Struthio camelus: one gene and its partner. The protein of the gene in region 1 interacts with the protein of each later gene in a pairwise test. Links are inferred from orthologs where the notes say so. Each region holds a gene or a part of one and is shown on either strand. Other genes may lie near its edges.

Region 1 (6,499 bases):
AGCAAGGGCAAAGGCGCGCCGAGCCGGAGAGGTGCGCGGCGCCCGAGCACCCGCGGCGCGGGGCCCTGCCTCCCCAGCCCGCGCCGCGAGCACCGGTCGGCCCTGCTCGCGGCGGAAACGCCGCCAGCAACCTTTTCAGCGGAAGAAAACGGGGCTGCCAAGAGCCGCGCGGCTTTGCCGCCCCTTCTGCCCGCCCGGAGCGAGCGACGGCGAGGGGGGGAAAAGCCGGTTAATCAGAGGAGACATAGGGTGTTGTTGCACTCCACCCAACAGGCGCATAAATACATGAGGGCAGCCCGGTCGGATGCAAAACTGGGCAAGACATCAGGTCCGTCCCAAAAAAGCAATGGTACCTTAGGAGGCGTTAAGCGCCGCGGGCGAAGCTCACCTGCTCCTGTCTGACGTCCCGCGGCCCCGGGCGCGTAAGGAAGGATGAAGCGGGCATGGTTTCCCCCGGCGGGGTTTGGGGCACTTTGCAATGCTGCTCTTTACGGCTGCGTGGGTTTCCCCCGCGGTTTGGAGAGGTTGGCGTCGCTGGGCGGCAATCCCCGGCTCGGCGCCGCTCGCGCTCGCACGTGGGTCGGCCGCTCGGGCTCGGCGGGCGCTTGCGTTTGCATCGAGAGACGCCGCTTCCCAAATCGCGTCGCCGGGGCGGCCGGGGCGAGGTGGACTTTTGGCGTGCTTATTGCCTACAAACGGATGCGGCGGGGGACGTGGACCGAGCGGGACGGTCGGCGGGCCGGGCAACGGGTGCGGAGCGCCCGCCTCGGGCCGGCACCCGCTCCGCGCCGGCGTCGCGGCCGTCCCGCGGGAGCTGGAAGCGTCTGGAAGGGCGGCTGCGGGAAGGGCACCCGCCGAGGGGGCTGGCAGCCGGGATGCCATGACAACCTTCGGGGGTTTCCCAGGAAACCGGGGTCGCCATGGCAACTGCATCACTCCGGTCCGAATTAGCAACTTCCGCTGCAAGGCGCCGTCGGCCGCTTTTATCTCCTGGCGATGAAGCGGCCGCCGCTCCCGCGACTGCATCGCAGCCGGGCGGAAATCTCCCGCGGGTTCGGGTGCCGAGCGCGCCGCCGCCGCCGCCAGCCCCGGCTCCGCGCCGGCACCGCTCCCCGCGCCCCGGGCTCTCGCCGCGAGCGTTAAATCTTGCGCTTTCGTCTCCCCCTGCCCCGTGCTCACGCTCGCCGGGCGGACAGCAATTTTCTGTCGGATGCAATAATCCCGTAGGGTTGCAGGGGAAGGGAGTTAGGAATAGAAAATGAGGAATTTTTTTTTTGTTTCTTCGTGCTGTTTAAATCAGAAGTGATTACACTCGCTCTCCGGCCAGATTAGAATTTCAAAAAAGATCTAGAAGGGGAGAAAAGGGAATCTGGGATGCGCCCCTAATGGCACACCACATGTTTCGATATTAAGCATCATTTAACAATGTGGTAACAGAGACTCTTTGCAAAATTAAGCGGTCGTTTTCCTCCCAACCCCCATCTCCTTCCAACGAGCTCCGCAACATGTTTTTCTCGTCTCCCCACCCAACTCGCGGTTGCTAATCCAACAAGTGAGCTTATGTGATGGAAGGGAAAACAGCTACACACTGCCTTTAGGGAAGGGGGAGGACAAAAACAAAACAAAACAAAACAAAACAGAAGCCAAGCAAGACGTCCCCAGAAAGGAGAAAACAAAAGCAGCCCTGCCACACGTTGCAGAACAAACACCTGTTTCCAGGGTGAGTGTGTTTTGCCTTCGTCTTCCTCGCCTTTACCCTTTACCCGTCCTCTTTTCTTCGGAGCATTTTAAATCCTCCTTTTTATGATCGATAGAAAGGAACAATCTAAAAAAAAAGGAAACGTATAAAACCAAGGGCACACACGGACCGACGATGGTGCATGTTCCACACAACACTGAGTACACAGTCATTTTGCATTATTATTGTTGTTGTTTTGCAACGCAGCCTCAGGGTTTTGTTTGTTTGTTTGTTTGTTTGTTCTGTTTTGTTTTTAAACGTCCGTAAAGATCTTTTTGATGTTCACACAGTTGGGATTGTTTGTGGTTGTGCAGTTGCCTGTCTTAAAGGTAGCCTGTTTGAATGCACTGTGGTTGATGCCCCCTTCTTCTATCACCATGTACTCCGACTTGCTGAGGGTGGAATTGCTGCGAGCCTTCCTCATTTCCTCGGTGGACGAGAGGTGCTGGCAGCTGCCGACGTGCATGTACTGGGCTTGCTCCTCACCTTCGGTCTCCCGGTGGTAGAAATAGTTGAAATTGGAGACGATGACAGGCACAGGGAGAGCAATGGTTAGCACCCCCGCGATGGCACAGAGAGACCCCACAATCTTGCCCCCGATCGTGATGGGGTGCATGTCCCCATAGCCCACTGTGGTCATGGTCACCACTGCCCACCAGAAGGCGTCGGGGATGCTACTGAAACCCGAACTGGGGTCATCGGCCTCTGCGAAGTAGACGGCGCTGGAGAAGAGGATGACGCCAATGAAGAGGAAGAAGATGAGTAAACCCAGCTCCCGCATGCTGGCCTTGAGGGTCTGCCCCAGGATCTGCAGCCCCTTGGAGTGCCGGGAGAGCTTGAAGATGCGGAAGACCCTGACTAGGCGGATGACTCTAAGGATGGCTAAGGACATGGCTTGCTGGCCGTTCCCTTGCCTCTCGGCCAGCTCGGTGCCCAGCGTGATGAAGTAGGGAATGATGGCCACAATGTCAATGATGTTCATGATGTTCTTGGAGAAGGTGGCCTTGCTGGGGCAGGCGAAGAAGCGGACGAGCAGCTCAAAAGAGAACCAGATGATGCACAAAGTCTCCACCACAAAGAAAGGGTCGGTGAAGGACGACACCATGGAAGCAGCCGAGGACGAGGAATTGGTGAAGACATCAGGTGGGAAAGGGCCACCACCCGTCCCAAAGGTCCCCCCGGTTCCCTCATAGTCGTGATCATCCCTGAACTCAGGCAGGGTCTCCAGACAGAAGATGACGATAGAGATGAGGATGACCAGGACAGAGACTATGGCGATGCCTCGGGCCGGCCCAGAGCTCTCCGGGTACTCGAAGAGGAGCCACACTTGGCGCTGGAACTCCTTGTCGGGCAGCGGCCTCTGCTCCTCCCGAATGAAGCCCTCGTCCTCCCGAAACTTCTCCATGGCCTCCTCCCCCAGCTGGTAGAAGCGGATCTCCTCGGAGAAGATGTCGATGGGGACGTTGACGGGCCGCCGGATGCGCCCGCCCGACTGGTAGTAGTAGAGGATGGCGTCGAAGCTGGGCCGGTTGCGGTCGAAGAAGTACTCGTTGCGGAGCGGGTCGAAGTAGCGCATGCGCTTGCGCGGGTCGCCCAGCAGCGTCTCGGGGAACTGCGCCAGCGTCTTGAGCTGGGTCTCGAAACGCAAGCCCGAGATGTTGATCACCACCCGCTCGCAGCACTCGTGCTCGCCGCCCGCGGCGGGGTGCCCGGCGGCGGCGGCGGCGCCCGGCGGCGGCGGCGGCTGGTCGTAGCGGTCGCCGCCGAGCAGAGGGTGAGGATGCTGCGGCTCCTCCGGCAAGGGGTCGCCGCCGCCCCCCGCCACCACCACCGTCATGCTGCCTTCCTCCGCCTCCTCGCCCTCGTCCTCCTCTTGCCGGGCGGCGGGCGGCTGCTCGCTGTAGCCCAGGTTGCGGTGGCTGCTGGCGGCGCTGCCCCGCGGGGGCCGGCCGGCCGAGGAGGCAGCCGGAGAGCGGAGCAAGCTCAGGCGCTCGTCCATAAAGGTGGGGGAGAAGGGGTCGGGCAGGACGGAGGGGAAGGAAGGAAGGAAGGAGGCGGCGGCGGCGCCTCTTCTTCTTCCTCCTCCTCCTCCTCCTCCTCGTCCTCCTGCGGGCGGAGAGGGAGAAGCAACCGCCCGACTCCTCCGGCGCCCGCTGCCGCTCTGAGCAGCGGAGGCTCCTCTCAAAAAATCCGCCCCCAGCCCTGGCGCCGCCTCGCTCGCCGGAGCCACCCCCAGCAGCGCGCCCCGGCCGGCCGCGGCCCCCCGGCCCCCCCGGCCCCCCGGCCCCCGCGTCTCCCCTCCGCGGCCGCCGGTCGCGCGGGGGGAAGAGTTTTTTCCTGGCAGCGGCGCTGCCTAGAAGGAGTTTTCCTGCTTTCCCCCCCCCCCACCCCGGGGGGAAAGCCAAAATGTGATTTATTTTTTTATTTTTTAACGCCGGCGCTTCGGCTCTGCCTGTCCGCTGCGGGTCACCGTTTCGGGGACGCGGCTGCGGCTAACGGGAAGCAGAGACAGCGCCTCAGAGAGCAGCCAACAGTTGTTTTGAATCAGCATTTCAGCTACAGTCGGAGGGATTTTCTTTTCTTTTCTTTTCTTTTCTTTTTTTTTTTTGCATAGGAGAGAGGTTGAGACAGAGCGTGCGTGTGTGTGCGCGTGTGTGCCTGTGCCTCCCCGCAGCCAAACAAGCGGAGGAGCGAAGCGCAGTCGGATCGCAGCTGAAGGCAGTCGCAGTCTGAAACGCAGATCTGCCTTTCAGCGTTTCCCCCCCCCCTCCCCGAGCCAGCCAAACGGCTTTTCATTCCCCCCCCCACCACCTCCTTGAACTGATCTTATGCAAATCGATCAATTTTGATGAAAGGGTTTTTTTTTTTTTTAAAGGGAAAAGCCTCCACCGCGGCGACCAGCACCCAGCACGGCTCGTGCAAACGCTCCGGCCCCGTGAGATTTGCCCCCAGAGCTCTCCCCAACCCACCCCTCGCTCTCCCAAAGCCCTCTAATCCCAAGGCACGTGCCAAACAGGGCTTGGGCAATTCAGGGAATTACCCGCTCGGGAAGAAGCCCGGCCACGAGGCTCAGGGAGGTGTGAGAGGTCCGACCGCGCCGCCTTCCCTGCGTCGCCCGGGTGGTCCCGCTGCGAAGGAGGTTAGAAGCGCTCCGGCAGATTGGAGCCCCACTCCGGCTTATTACCGCGGTTATTTTTAACTAGAACAGCCTCCAGAAGGTAGGGAGAGAAACAGATGAAAAGATCAAACTTATTTATGCTTTAAATTAGCAACAAGCTGCACAAAATATACAAAGCCATAAAAGAAGCCAAGCACGGGGGAAAATCAACACTAAACAGCGCCGCCAGAGCTGGCTCCGCACCGGGCGCGGGAACGCCGGACCGACGCTGGCAGAGCCGACGCGGGGAAAAAAACCCTTTGTCCCAAGGCATCAGCGCCCACCCGTCAGGTTTCCCAGGAATTAGGCACACCGAGGGGGTCCCGCTGACAAGGTGGGCCTCCCACGCGGCGCCGAGGCCAAGCAGAGCCTTTGGCTAAGCCGCCCGTGGCGGTTGCATCTCCCAAAATCATCCCTGGTGCTCTTTCCGGACAGCATGCCCAGCATGGCAATTTTTTACACCACCAGGAAAATTGCAGGCTCCCCTGCGAAGACGGTCCCCTGCGATCCTGCTTGCACGGGGACGTGCACCTTGCCATGGAGTTTGATGCATGTCCCTTGTTGTCACCTCCATCCTTGGCTTTAAACCCCATCCATGGAGGCCCGTTTCATCCGAGGCTGCAAGCTGGCCTTGGAGGAGACAGCTGGGCCAACAGATCCCCATCCGCTCACCCCGTCTCTGCTACCGCAATTAATAGCGCAAATCCGGGATGTGCTCCCAGCGAGAGCAAGCACTCCTCCCTTTCAACCCGGAGCATCTCCCAAGTTTCCCAGCCCCCGGACAGGGCAGGAAGCACAGCCTGGGCTGATCATTAACCCTTGAGCTACCGGCGTTGCTTGTAGGTTAGGAAAGCCAGGAAAATTCCTCGAAACGACTGCTGGCATCCCAGCGCGAGGAGCTATTTCCTGCGCGTTTCGTGAGCATGAAACAGCCATCAGCTGCGCACCGCGTACATGTGTGTAGCACTTCAAGACTTGTCTGGCTCATCCCTTTCCTCTGCCAGGATTTCTGCCAATAAATCACTGTCATCTGGTCTAAGGCAAACAAACAAGGCTGCTTTCATACCATAAACATTTATCGATGACAAAAGGCTTGAGGCAACCTTCCATAATTGCAACAGTTTATTCTGGATCTCCGTCGGGGTAAACCCGGGGGAAATTGGTGCCAGCAAAGCCATCCGGAGAGCGCTGCTAGGAAAAGCCCTTCTCCAAAAACCGGGAGCAGGGTACAACCCTTTCCTCCATCACCCGCAACCCAAACACGCATTAACCCTCGAGCGCCTGGCGTTGCCCCACTCCCCAACCTTCCCCGTCAAGGGATTTCTCCGGGGGCTTTGGCCCGGCCACCCCAGGCGCCGCTTGGCCTCCTTGGCCTTATTTACTCTGCGGCCGCCTCACCGTAATCCCATCAAAGCCAATTAGGCTGCGCCAGGCGGAGCGCTTGCCGAGCTCCCGCGCGGACCTGCAGCACCCCGGGGTGAAGAAACACCCCCCCTTCCCCTGCCGGCAGCCCCAGCCTGGCGGGTGGTGTGAGCGGGAGCTCCCTGCACAGGGCTGCTGGAGGGCTCTCTGCTCTCTCGCCCTTGAATGAGGAGCCCGTCTCC
Region 2 (6,499 bases), on another chromosome or scaffold:
GGCAGAAGCAGAATCTTTATTTCTTCACCCTAATCAGAGTTTGTCCACAAGGAACTGGATCTGAACTTTATGGCTACTTCTAATAAAATGAATTTGAAAATAGTACCCAAATAAACTAGAACTGTGGCAAAATTCTCTCTGGACTTTTCAGGTTGGACCGATCTGTGAAATACTCGTAAATGCTTATGAATATCAAAATCATTCTTAACTGTCCTTGTAACAAGACAGAAAAATGTTGCTTTGCAATGTCCACACTTCTTACAAATGCTGCTGTTGTTACAATGCAGAATGGATCCGGCCTGGTAAACATCAAATTCATTTGGATACTTTTCTGCGTCTTGATGTGACTATTACTCTCACTACCAGAAACTCCCTTGCTGATACAGAGGCGGAACTGGTATTCGGGGTGTTTGCTGTTTTCAATGAATGCATTTGTTGGTCCACGATTATTTTGAAGGAACAAACTGGGTACCTTGTTTTTTTCATCCCTATAATGCTTACTTTGCCCCTGTGGGAGGCAGAGGGGGCTGGACAAGCTTTATACATTTTGGGCTCCTTTAAGTCCATTAGGAGTTTTTTCCATCAGTGGTCCCTCTTTCCCAGCAGGATCTTTCTTTCTCTAGTTAAGTTTGTGGATACCCAGATTCCAACTTGCCTGGGGGCTATGACTCATTCTCAGAAGTTTTGGTTGCTCTGGGGACTTCTACAGTTGCTGTATGCAATGAGCTGTGATGCCGTCTCATTTCTCAGCTCTTGCATTCCCTGCCTACTCTGCTGCTCTTCCATGGCTAGAATAAAAAAGAATTACTCTCTCCTTTTTAAAACTAGCCATTTTAATAGAAGTTTTGTACTACTAGGCACTTTTGCAGACCATTTTTTCCCCTAAAAAAATGCAAACTTTACTCTTTTTCTTTCTAGACCTCGAATCCAATGGATCCTTAAATATATAGCCTGCTCTGTGCAATAACTTTTAGGGCTGATCCGACAAGAGGGCTAATTATGCACAGCACCTTCAAATTGTGCTGAAGTCAGCAGAATTTGAGGATACTTGGGACCGTATTATATTGTATGCACAGGGCATGAATCATTTTACTGACACACACATTTAGGGACCAAGGTCAATCTTTTCATCCTCTGGAAAGAATACGATGTTTCCATTTTTCAGTGATGGTTCTTCCTGACCAAGGGATTGGGTGAACTAGGACTGTGCTGTGCTGGACCCTAACTGAGCCAGTAAGTGGATTAGTTTCACGCTGTGACTGGGTGACTCCTGTTTTTCCTAAGTTCTGACAAACCTAGGTGACAGCACCCCTAGCCTTCACATGTGTAGTATAAAATTGCTCTGCTAAGGGAAAAAACAGCTTTATGATTTTTCTGACCAAAGTGACTTCAAGTAAAAAATCTCCATTGACCTAGATTTGTTGAAACAGTCAAGCTCTGAATTAAAAACCCGACCAAAAAATCCAGACAAGGGGGCAGTCAGTTTTTGCTTAGCCTGTTTCCTTTTAGCATTTCTATCGGGAGGGAAAAATACCAGGAAAAAGAAAACAAAACAAGGAAACAAACCCAAACTATGACCAGGACCTCTTATTTTGCACCCGCTTGGCGTAGGGAGGGCAATCTGTGTGGGTCCTGGAGGCCGTACCCAGCAGTGCGGCCAGCTCCGAGCTGCACTGCTTAAGGCGGGTTTGGTGCCACCTCCCTGCCCTGCCTTTATACGTGCCTGAGGGAAGGAAAATCCTTCTGCCAGTGTTACATAAGGTCATGCAGCTTCTTCCCCACTCTCCCAGCGCCGGCCGGGACGCCGCGGGGCAGAGCAGACCTGCGGGCGCGGAGCCCCGCGCGGGGCCGCGCTTCCGCGGGGACTGCCGTAAGCCCCCGCGCGGCCGCGCACCAGCACCGCGCTGCCGCGCCGGGCCCTGCGCGCCCGCGGACCGGGCCGCCCGGCCGCGCTGCAGCGGCGTCAGCCCGGGGAGAGCTCCCAGCTCGCAGCCTGCTGCGCTCTTTTCCCCCTCACTTTTCCTTTAAAAAAGGAAAAAAAAATCCAGCACCCCCTCCGCTTGTGCGGCAGGTGGAGGGGAGCGGCTCAAGGGCAGCTGCCGGAGCGTGCCCTGGAAACGGCCGCAAATCCGGTGCCGCTGGCAGGACGGGCAGCTGCTGCGAAGTAAGCGGCATCACCCCCCGTGCCCGAGCCCGCCGCCGGGGCGCCTCACCTTGACCACGTCGTCGTTGAGGTGCTTGGGGTCTCGGTTGACCAGGTCGATCTCCTTGGTGTGCACGTCGTGCACCACCTTTTCGCTCAGCTCATCTGCCATCATCTTGTTGTTGGGCTTGTAGATGTTGCCCTGCTCCCGGACGGGCGCCGTGTACAGAAAGCCCTGAGGAGAGGGAGAGGCGAGGCGAAGAGGCGGGCTGGGGGCGGCGGCCCGGGGCTCCCGCGGCGGTGCGCGCAGCGGCGGGAGCGGCTCTCGCCGCGGCTATTTAAACGCCGAAGGGGCCGCCCCGCTCCCCCCCGCGGTACCAGGCGCGGCGCTGGCTCCGGCTCCGGCTCCCGCTCCCGCCGCCAGGCGTCCCAGGCCGAGCGCGCCCCGCGGAGTGACCGCGCCGCCGCCGCCGCCGCGTCCCGCACGCCCCGCGGGGCGCCGCCCCGGCCGCCGCCCGCCGGCCTGCCCGCCGCTCCCCCCGAGCCGCACCTCGACTGCCCCGGCCCCCCGTGCCCCCCTGCCCGGGGCGCAGCGCGGCTCTGCCCCCGCCGCCGGCAGCGCCGAGCCTGCAGCAGCCGAGCCGCGCCGGGTCACCCCGCGCAGCGCCCTCATCATACCGCTCTCACCTTACCGCCCTCGCCGTGCCGCCCTGACCCTACCACTCCCCCCGCAGCCCCCTCACCGCAGCCCCCTCACCTGACCGCCCTCACCGCAGTACCCGCACCGCACCGCCCCGGCTCCGCGCCACACCGCGCCCTCGCCGCGGCGCTCGCAGAAGGGCGGGCAGCGGCGGCGCCTGCCCCGGCTGCAGACCCGGCCCTCGGGGGCGAGCCCGCCCGGGGCTGCCCCCCGCCGCCGCAGCCGGCACCCGGCGGCTCCCCCGCAAGGCCGTGCGCGGCGGGAAGCGGCGGCGAGCTGCCCCCGTGCCGGAGCAGCCCGCTCGGCTCCGCTCGGCTCCGCGGCGGCGCGGGGCAGCGGCGCTGCGGCAGGTACGCGGCGCCCGGCGGGAGCGGCGGCGGAGCGGGTCTGAGGCGGCCCCGGCAGCCCTACCTCCGAGTCTACGTATTTGGTACCGGACATGCTGCCCCGGGCTCGGTGGCGGTTCTGCCTCAGGTTTCTCTGTGCTATAATTTGAACGACCGGAGGAAGGAAGATCCGTATTGTAAAACAGCTAGCGAGGGGGGAGGTAGCTGCGCGGGAGACAGCTGGCCGCCGGCCAGGGGCTGTTCCCTGCGTTTGGCTTGGATGACAGCAGCGGCAGGGCTAGGCATCTCCCGAGCGCGGCCGGGGCTGGGAGGGGAAAGTAACCCAGCCCTCGGCAACCCGGGAGCGGGCTGCCCCGGCCCCGGCTGCCGGGACCACGCCGGGCCGCCGGGGGCCCGGCCGCGCCGCCCGGCGCTTCCCCCGCCCGCCCCGCGGAGCTGGTCCCGCCGGCCGCCGGCCCCAGCTGCTCCCCTGGCCGCCCCCCTGGACGCCTCGGGGTCCCCCCGGGCTGGGGGCGGCCGTGCCTGGATGCGGCAGAGCCGCCGAGGAGCAAGGAAGCAGTGAGGAGATGGAAAACTTTAGTTGTGTTTCAAGTCCGGAGCGGAGCAAGGAGTGAGTTTGCAGGACTTTTCTTCCTCCCCCTTCCCCCCCGCCCCCCGCCTTGACAGCAGTCTACACATAGCCATTAGTGCCCCAGGAACAATTGTGGAAACTTGGACATCCTTGGGTTGAAGAAAAGGAGACTTTCCCGACTGGTTCATTTCAAAACTATGCAAATATTTAACAGTCCTGCACTTGAGTTGTACAATATTTTTCCTAGGAGGAGACTGACCCATGCATGTCTGCCATGCATATTAACCACTGGCACTCTACTTCTAAAAAGGCATGGTGGGACCCTGTGACTCTTTGCCATGCCTTCTCTTTGCCTTCTATTCTGAAGGCCCTCTATAAGCTCTGGTGCATGTGTCGGTGTAACAGCTCTCAGGGTCCTTCGCTGCGTTCAAGACGGTTCAGGTTAGGGTTACAATGGCACTGCACATCTATAAACTATTAGTTATAGCCCTGCATTTTTTGGTGCTTGCAACCATCAGTGTTCTGCTAGGAAATCAGCTTATAGTGTAAGATTTGTCACATTAACAGCAAAATAAAGTAGGGTTAGTGTTATGCCATTTAGCACAGAATTGCAACAAGAGAAGTAGAAAATTTCAAACTGCACTATATTTGGCTCTGGCAACTCAACAGAAAAAGGACCGCAACAAGCCATTGGCTAAGATGGAAGTAGGCTGCACAAATGTAATAAATGCACCTGTTAAGAATGCAGTCTCTGTGGATACGTATTACTGATATGGTCATCCATTAGCAGTGAATTTTAAAAGTTTTCTGTTGCTCATAAACTTTAAAACAAATACTTCTGAGGTGGATGTTCTCCAACTTTCCAAGTTGGTTGTAATTTTTAAAAGTGACTTTATTGATGCAATAATTCGCTTAAGCCATCACTAAAATATCTTCTGCTTTCCAGACATTTCAGTGTATGCATAAAGTCACATGGGTGAACTGAGGGACATCATCTCAGTGAAATTTTTCACCCTGTCTAAAGAAAGACAGGTCTTTGATTTATAGGCTGACAGTTTTTTAATTAGCTAGTTTCCTGCATGTGCATCAGAAGATTTTGACCCATCATTCAGTATTATTGCATACCTCAAGGATGACTAAATTAAGGGATGTATTTGTTAGCTTGAAATGCTACTCTGGTCTTGGAATAGTTTCTGCAGAACTGCAGCACCCTTAAAAAAAATTCTGAATCACACAGCCCTAGTGCAGCTAGAGGAATATTGGAAGCTGGTGAAATTTATACCTCTGTGAGATAAACCCCAGAACAGGCTACTTACCAGCAGAAATGATCTGTCACATCTGATGAACCTTAGAAGTGCTTATTTGAGCTTGAATATTACAAAAACATCCTACAGAGATAGGTACATACATAGGTACTAACATGTTGTGAATGTGTGGGAGTTATGTTTGCAGAGACTAAAATCATAGCCCATTGCTATGTGGCCTGTTGTATGAAAAATGCACCCAGACAGTCTTCTCATTGAGCTTTGTCCAGGTCACCTCTTGATATATGCTACTTTAGCTGGCCACATCACTGCCTGTCTTCGTTCTCCATCACACCAGCTTTAGGCATTTTATGCCTAATTTTAAAAAGTTTTTTATGCTCCAAAGCTTTGCTTTAACTGAATTTTCAAACATCAGGATTCAGAACTGACTGTAAACATGGAGAAGCGTCTATGTGCAAGCTGTGAGCAGTTCTTCCCATTTTGAGAAAGCTTTTGATATGCGTAGGAAATATTTCTTTTAAAAAGCCAGCACAAAAGTTGGATTGGATGAAATTCCTCAAACAATAATGTCAGAAAATGAGTCATAAGAGTGAACTAAATGTGCATGACTGCTCATTGAGTGTCTCTGGCATCAAATGCTCCCTCTCACTCCACTCTGCACATCTCGTCCCCTGCTCCTTTTTGTTGTGCAATTATTGCAATTCCAGTATTAGCAATACTCCTAATATATTCCAATGTCAGCAAGATCAGAATCAGCCCTGAGAAACTGTTCTCTTCATGTGTAGTCTCAACAGCATCCAGGCTGTCAGATAAGAGAGATTGTCAGCAAGCAGCCTTCCTTATGCAGAGTGCTTACAAAACTCAGGCTCAGCTCTTCTTTCTGACTCAGAAAATTAGAAGATCACTGATGCTCTTAGGAGTCTTCTGTTTGACTGCTTAAGTGCATCCTTTTATGCACATTTTTGGGAGTTGGATGAAAGCCTGAGATGCCAGAACCTCTGGTAATGAGCTTTTATCTGCTGTGATACTGCTCTCTCCCTACTGTGTGATAGTAAGCACTGGGATGGGTTTAAAATGAAGCCTGATGCTTTCCTCATTCCATGATTTACAGACTAGGAGGATTCATGGTGGCTGGTCAGTCTTCACTCTCAGCAGGCTTTCTATATTTTAAATTTTAAGTTACTGGATCTGAACTGTTCCACTTGGGTGGGTGCCCCTCACCACCAATTCATAGAATTTACACAGTGCTCTCACATAGGTATTTTTTTTATCTGGCCTATTCGGTCCTTGAGTCAAAGGAGTAGTTTTATCAAGGACAGAGAGATCCCCTCACATTCCTTCCTTCTCACAACCTCTAGCAACTGATGATTTCCTTTTAAATGGGGGTACTGTTGCCAGTAAACATTTGACAATAGCCTGATGGTTAGAAGATTAATCCAACATGTGGGAGAGACGAGATTATTTTTGCCTGTC

The links.
Region 2: the proteins of KCNA3 (region 1) and CAV1 come close enough for resonance energy transfer, tested with the Homo sapiens proteins (2 studies listed by BioGRID). The link is inferred for Struthio camelus from reciprocal best matches to the Homo sapiens genes KCNA3 and CAV1.

What each region holds. Positions count from the first base shown.
Region 1 is NC_090965.1:4,566,058-4,572,556, forward strand, and holds the start of KCNA3 (potassium voltage-gated channel subfamily A member 3), read right to left. Parts: upstream 3,897-6,499; 5' UTR 3,738-3,896; coding exon 1,992-3,737; 3' UTR 389-1,991; intron 1-388.
Region 2 is NC_090942.1:29,186,641-29,193,139, forward strand, and holds the start of CAV1 (caveolin-1), read right to left. Parts: upstream 3,578-6,499; 5' UTR 3,285-3,577; coding exon 3,255-3,284; intron 3,048-3,254; exon of another isoform or gene 2,901-3,047; intron 2,379-2,900; coding exon 2,214-2,378; intron 1-2,213. UniProt on the Homo sapiens protein: May act as a scaffolding protein within caveolar membranes. Forms a stable heterooligomeric complex with CAV2 that targets to lipid rafts and drives caveolae formation. Mediates the recruitment of CAVIN proteins (CAVIN1/2/3/4) to the caveolae.